2 linked regions of the Caenorhabditis elegans genome follow. The protein of the gene in region 1 binds, or shares a complex with, the protein of each later gene. Each region holds a gene or a part of one and is shown on either strand. Other genes may lie near its edges.

The links. Proteins that work in one complex are often made in the same cells at the same time.
Region 2: pat-3 (region 1) and pat-6 share a complex: the UniProt entries of both Caenorhabditis elegans proteins name them as parts of the integrin containing attachment complex.

The regions. Positions count from the first base shown.
Region 1 is NC_003281.10:3,912,315-3,916,071, forward strand, and holds the start of pat-3 (Integrin beta pat-3), read right to left. Parts: upstream 1,836-3,757; 5' UTR 1,816-1,835; coding exon 1,618-1,815; intron 1,563-1,617; coding exon 1,358-1,562; intron 741-1,357; coding exon 337-740; intron 239-336; coding exon 1-238. UniProt on the Caenorhabditis elegans protein: Integrin alpha ina-1/beta pat-3 is a receptor for laminin. Integrin alpha pat-2/beta pat-3 recognizes the sequence R-G-D in its ligands. Plays a role in cell migration, morphogenesis and probably in cell-cell interactions.
Region 2 is NC_003282.8:262,485-266,241, reverse strand, and holds the start of pat-6 (Paralyzed arrest at two-fold protein 6), read left to right. Parts: upstream 1-2,009; 5' UTR 2,010-2,017; coding exon 2,018-2,185; intron 2,186-2,230; coding exon 2,231-2,306; intron 2,307-2,351; coding exon 2,352-2,539; intron 2,540-2,599; coding exon 2,600-2,734; intron 2,735-3,281; coding exon 3,282-3,572; intron 3,573-3,627; coding exon 3,628-3,757. UniProt on the Caenorhabditis elegans protein: Involved in the regulation of cell adhesion and cytoskeleton organization. Component of an integrin containing attachment complex, which is required for muscle development and maintenance.

The DNA.
Region 1 (3,757 bases):
TCTTTGTAACAGCAAAAATGACATTTGCCTTACGATCCTTGATCATTTGATGAAGAAGTGCAATTGATGGATAATCTTGATTAAGTGTTTCAGTATAATATCCTTCTCTATCTAAATGACATGTTCCATCATTTGGTTCGACGACACCTGCCAATCTTCCGTCTCCAGCGAAATGGAATCCAGCGTCAGTTGAGAAAACGATCATTTTACGAGCACGTTCACGCCACCCAATGGTTTTCTGAAATATTGATTTTTAGATTTTAAGCTTTCCCGATATCTCAAAAATGTTGATTTGATTCTTTTTGAATTTTTCTTTTAAATCAAATAACCACTTACATTACAAGCCAACGCCTGAACAACAGCATCGAAACCTCCTTCCGGAGCATCCAAATTTCCAGAAATTTCAGCTTTATCAACTTCAGCCTTGAACTTTGCCGTGTTCGTCGTCAATGACATTTGATGCTTGAATCCATATGGTTCTGCACATGGTGTTGGACACGGAGATAATTGTTTTTCGATTCGTGGATCGATGAATGGCATAAGTTTCTTGTCAATGAATGAACCGAATCCTAATCGGAAATTCTTTGTGACAGTTCTCATTCGTTCGGCGAGCAAGTCTCCGAGTTCGGACAGTTTCTGTTTGTCATCCTTCATGGAATATGAGAGATCCATCAAATAGTACAAGTCAACTGGATAATCAACGGCTTGACGGTAGGTCACATTGAAACGAACACGGGATTCTGAAAAAAAAACATTTAGATTGTTGTTGATATTGAAGAACTGGATTTAGAGAAAAATCTTGTGATTTTACAAGTTTTCGAGTCGCAGCGGTCACTAATTAATTTTTATTTTATAATCACCCTGAATTGCAAATTTTAGAAGTTTATCATTAATTCGTTGATTTAGGCATATTTTAAGCCCAAAAATCTCTTAAAATCCAAAAATAGTCAAACGAGCCTAAAATGTGTAAATCAACGAATTATGATAATAATAATAAATTACTTCACTTAATTGTATATTACAGGAGCTTTTTAAGATAAAAATTAAATAAAAAAGAGGCTGAAAATAACCAAAACCGGAAATATTTTAACTTTCCGCAAAAAAAATGCAGTACGATTTTTTTTTCAGTGTTTTTGAGACAATTTTCAAATGTGATTTTCAGCGGTTTTTGTTGTGAAAAATCAATGAAAAACATTTCTTTAATTAGTGCAAATTTTTCCTGAAAATTTAAGACTACGAAATTACCCTGAAATCTTCGTTTTTTTTGCTGAAACCCCAAAAAATTTTTTGTATTTTATTGATTATTTTCATCGAGTTTTTAAACGAATTATCTTTGAAAACCATATAAAAAACTTACTGGGCCGAATTTCGACGTACATCTCCTGTGGTTTGATCTGAACGGCTTCTTCCTCAGATTCAACTTGTCCTTGATCGGAGAGTTTACTGTCTTCAGTGATATCCAATTTTGTGGCCGGATCCTCGATATAACTGTTTGGACATCCATGTTCCATGAGCTTGGCACGGCTATCACAACGGGCATATGGCTTCTTCTCGTCGAACATCTGGAATTTTTTTTATTAAATAAAATAAATTCATGGTCTCAAGCATTTAACATACCGGTGCTCCACACCACGCGCAAGATTCATGATATTGAATGCACGCTGAGCATGTGTAATTGTCACGTGACAGACTGTAGCATGGGAATTCTGATTTTTCGACGACTTTTCCAGTGACTTCTCCAGTCTTCCAATCGCTTGCTGGTAAAGCGAATGGAAGAAGTGCTGCGAGGAGCAGCAATGATGTTGAAGGTGGCATTTGATGCCGGGTAGGTTCAACTGAAAAATTAATTAATTGGCTTTTAGTACATTGAGAACGGAGTAATTAGAAAAAAAAACGGTGAGATTAAAAAATGGTGTATTTATAAGAAAAATTGATGATGAAACTCTACAGAAACCTGATATCAAACTGCTTTCAACAGGTGGCAACTTTCATACAACTTTTGAAATTTTTAAAGCTCTCCAAAAAAGTTAGATTTTTTGAAAAAAATATTTTGATATAAAAATCAAGAATATCATACTAAAAATGGCACATCCCCAATTCATAATTTCTTCAGTGAAGAAAAAGTTATAATATAAAAGTTATACAATAAAAAATATATAGGAAATTTTGAAAGAAAATGACTTCTTGAAATATTAGTCACCATAGTAGGAAAATTTATTGTTTACTCAACAAACGGAGTGAATGCGGGAAGTATAACGGAGTCATGTTCTTTTTGTTAGAAAATTACATAGTTTTCGGGGGAAAATATAAAAAAACTTGCAGCGAGGAATATTGGAGTTCAGACAACTCGGATTTGAGAAAAATCGGTCGTGTCGAGACCGGGTACAGTATTTTCGGGAAACAATAACTTAATTCGGTATCTGCAGGCACACATGTGTAATGTATGAAATTTGAGATTTCGGGATAAAACTTCATCCGTTTAACATTTTTGGAAGTTATGCACATAACTTTTCAAACCTTAAAAATCGATAAAAGTATCAACTACGTCCACCGATCACCTCTTTTCGGAACGTGGGCGGATCTGCCAAGTGCTTCGACAGGAGCATCTCTCGCCTTCTCTCTCTTCACAACTGCCATCAACCCAGCAGCAGAATGCTCTTCGAAGAGATAGTGTAGGCGATAGAGTGCTCTATGTTGGCCGGGAGAGGGGCTCGGACCAAAGTGTAACGAGAGTTACACCTGCTTGTATCGTCGAAGAAACAAAGAAGACGAAGGGAAGAAAACCAAAGGGAAATGGGTGAAAAGGCGTTAGAATCGGGAGCTTCTAGAGACATCAGAGACCGATGAAATTGCGAAATTCACAGGAGGGGGTTTGATGTGGTGAGGAAAGGGATTTTTCGATAGTTTCAATATCGTTAGTTTGGTTCAAAAGTGGGAGTGGATTCTCATTTTGGAAGACATTCAAACAGGGATATTAGCTGAAACTAAAAAAAAGGATTTCACATTCTAGATCGACATTTTCCTTCTTTTTTTTGTGGTTTAATGAAATTTCTGACTATTTTGGGTATTTTTAAGCTTCCCGCTATTCCAAAAATGTTTAAACTCATTGCTGAACATCAAAACTGTTCCTGGTAAACTAGTTTAGGTGAAACTTTGAAGATAACTATAATTCTTGCTCTTACAGCTTATGAATGCACCTAGTAATTATTAAAATGTCAAAGTATAATTAATTTTAAAATGGCTGTCAAAAGTTATCATACAACGATATAACAATTTAGACATTGTGAAAAACGACGATTTCAACACTTAAATAACGAAAAGAGTAGAAAATAATAGCGTCTGAGTCATTCTTGTTCTAAATTTCCCACGCCCACCGTCTCCCGTCTCCAATCCATCAAATCGATAACAATCTGATAGGAACTAATTCAAAATCCAAACTGAATTGAAATTGAAATTGGGAGGAACAAAACGAAGAAGGGAACCAAGGGATGACAAGTAGTAAGACATCTGGTGCATACATATACTAGTATCCTCTGTCTCTATGTCTCTCTGTGTTCGTATTGCCCTTGTGTGTTTAATCATAGCACTAGCCCGGAATAAAAGAGCATTGAATCTGTGGAGAGACAGACACAATGAGAAGAGGGGTCGACTGTTGGTACTTTTGTTAGCAGGAGGGGAATCTACAGAGAAAAGAAGCAGTTAAACGGAGTGTGGACAGCAGCAGTCAGGATATATGGAGATCGATGATTATTGTGGG
Region 2 (3,757 bases), on another chromosome or scaffold:
TGGTCAACAGGAAAATGTTCAAAATTGAGTTGGTGGTTAACAAATAACCTACACATTCTCCCGAAAAAGAATTCATTAAAGATCAATGGGCACGATTGAAAACATGGCAAAGTTTTATTGAAAAATGAAAAACAGGCAAATATTTGGCTGAAATCGCTCAGTTTTCAGAAAATATCCACACTTTGACTGAAAATGGTGTAGGAATTGATGTAATAACAAGAGACAACAATCGATGTGGTTCCGTTTTTACAAATCGAATTGTTGATAACAAAGAAAATAAGGGAGCGTTTTGAAAATGAAGGAACTGGTTTTTCGATTGTACGAGATACAATAGTTCTTGACACAGACACCTACAATTTGTTGATAACGAAGGATAGACGCATCGGGTTGATGATTAAACAAATTTGAAGGAAGTACACGAAATTTCAAAAATTTAAAGGTGGAGTAGCGTCAATGGGGATTTTGTCTAAATACGCTTATTATGATTTCAAACGACCGAATATCATAATAAAACTACAAAAATTTTTAGATTTTCCCTAATTTCGGTCAAAGTTTTGGCACATTACCAAAATTTTGACAAATATGAGCTTTTGAGGACATCCAAAGCAATGTCGCATATTCCGGTCTTTACAATGATTCAACAAAAATAATTGAAACAAAATTACAGTATAAAAAATGTAGGAAAAATAATTTTTTTTGGTCGACTTCCAAAATTATGAGTGGCAAAAACTGAATATTGAACACTTTTTGACAGTGAATAAAAATTTTTCAAAAAAGTTTTGAAAAGTTTTATTATGATTATTTGTCACTTTGGCACCATAGGAGTATTTTTTAACACTTACTCCATTGGCCCTACTCCACCTTTAATAATTTTCAGATTTCCTAATTTTCTAGATTGCATGCTAATTTTTACAATTACTAGTTCAATGTTTCTTAATCTGATTTCGGTTTAATGCAACTATTATCATACGCCAGGAAATCGAATGTACCGTACGTATAATCAATGTAACTGATGTGATTTTTCATAATTTTTTCCTAAAATTGTTTTTCAAAATTTTTTCAAAAATTGCTATGGAAAAAACTATTTTCAAAAGACCGACCTGTGGACCGACTGTACCGTATTTCCTCTATTAGTCTTGCACTCCTACAGACTAATTGAAAATCAGTCTTACAGCCTGTAATAGTCTAGCACCCCACTTTTTGTCATATTAGCAGAACTTTGTGGAAACGTAAGCAAATTTATCATTTTTGGAGTAAATCAAATGTAAAATCGTTCAAATAATTGATGTAATATTGGGAAAGTATGTATTTTTCATTGTTTGAACGGTCAAAATTGTATCACTTTCCAAAGTTCGAAAAATAGTTTTCAGTCTCTATTAGTCTTGCACCCCTAAAGACCAATTGAAAATTAGTCTCGCATGCAAGACTAATAGCGAAAATACGGTAAATGCAGAGTTGTTGTCTTTCTTAATTTATTTTTATTTTTATTTATTTGAATATTAGTTGTTATATGGACGTCCTTTTCTTTCTCAATACATATGCATATACAAATATTAACTTTCCGTTCTTCTTTCCTATTCCCATACATTTATATGTATCCCAAAGCCTTCTCTCTCCCCCACACACACCATTTATCTGCACCATCCTCTTTTCACCCAATCTCTCATTTGTCGTAAACTCTCCTTCCAACTCTACGTCTCTTATTGTTCCCAACACTCTCTCACTTTTTCAACACTGACGACGGCTGTTTTACACTATCTGCTGGCCTGGATGGGGACTTTTGTGTTGCTCTACGGAAAGAATCCTCCCACACAATATTTTTACTGCTATTTGAACATTGAATTATCGATTTTTCAAATTTAAATTTAAGTGCTTAAAGAGGAAATGTTCCAAAACAGAGTTTCATAATGAGACTTCAAAATTTTTTTAACTTATCAATATCTAATTGTACTTTATTTTTTATTATGAATCAACAAATATTTACCCCTTAATAATTTTAAACTTTTCAGCAATAACCATGTCAACACTTGGTCGTAGTAAGACCCCATCTCGTGACGAACCAAAAAAGCCTGGAGTCTTTGAGAAACTCTCTGGTACCCTTTCTCGAAAGAAGAAGGCGCCGGAAGATGAGCATGGAAACCAAGGGGGTGCACATCATGCTACTGATGAAGATGAAGTTTTGGAGGTTAGTTTTGCAAATTAATGGTTTTAGCAAATATAGATTTTTCAGCTTGAACTTGAAGGTCGTGAGGCTCTCGATCAGTCATTGGTCCCAGTTCTTGCAAGAAACATCTGGTTGGAAGAAGGTAAACGGTTTCACCAATATATTTATCCAATATATTTTTTTCCAGGAGAAATTCGTCGTTATCTGACTAAGGAAACAGCCCGCGATCAGAAGTTGGCACAAGTTGTCGATTTGCTGATCTACTGGCTTAATGAAGAGCTAGCTGATCAAAGAATTGTCGTTCGTCACTTGCAAGAAGATCTTTTCGATGGTCAAATCATCCAGAAGCTGTTGGAAAAGTTGGAGCAGATTCGAGTAAGTTATTGGTACAATTTCACAAATTGAATAAATTCTCCACTCACAGTTTTGTTACAGATCGAGGTTCCAGAAGTTTCGCAGTCAGAAGAAGGACAACGTCAAAAACTGCAAATTGTAGTTCAAACAGCCAATCGAATTCTCGGACAGCCAAGAGAACAAGAGAAATGGTCTGCGGATCTTATTCATCAAAAGGTACGCAAATCTTTGTCTGAATTGTTCATTTCTATCAGTCTTACATTTCATTGTGCAGATGTTTGACGCACTGTAGACAAAAGAGTTTCTCACTCGAAGCTGTTCCAAAAACTACCGTATATTCTATATTAGTATGATATGTTAATCTGTGGACACCTCCGCCACACAATACTATTCATCATTTACTATATATAAAGCGCTTATTCTGTGTGTCCATAGTTTGTAGTCTATGTAGTCTTTGTAGTCTGTGAAGTTTTGGCTTCTTGGGATAGTGAGTTGGGGTTAGTGTAGGGATATAGTCGAAGTACTGTATTGGCACAATAGTGGTACGGTAGGAATACTGTAGTTTCAGAAAAAATCAGTTTTCACCCCCAGGTCCACGGCTGGTAATCTATATAGAAATTCGTGAACTGCAATACTAATTTTCGAGGTGGTTTTTGGATGCAAAACTTATTGAGAATATACGATAGTTGAACGCAACAGTACTTTTCGAATAAACAGAGTTACTTTCCATATTTTATATTTTCTCATAAAAGAATATTCCCAGGACTTCACTGCCATCATCCAGCTCCTGGTGCTTCTTGCTCTTCACTACCGTGCTCCAGTTCGATTCCCAGATAACGTGGTTGCTAACGTTGTGGTGGCTCAAAAGGAACATGGTCAAGTGAAGACCCATCGAATTACTGAGCAAATCACTACAGTTCAAACTGAGTTGGCACCGAAGGGCACTCGTGACGCATTTGATACGCTTTTCGATTATGGACCCGATAAGTTGGCTCATGTGAAGACATCTTTGTTGGCTTTTTGTAATAAGCATTTGAATAAAATTAATCTGGAAGTAAGTTTATTCACTTCATTGTGCTACAAAGAAGCTGATATTTGTAAATTTTTAGGTGTCTGATTTGGATAATCAATTCCAGGACGGAGTTTTCTTAGTTCTCCTAGTGGGACTTCTTGAAGGTTATTTCGTCCCGCTTTACCATTTTAATCTCCAAGTTCAAAGCCACGAGGAGAAAGTAAAAA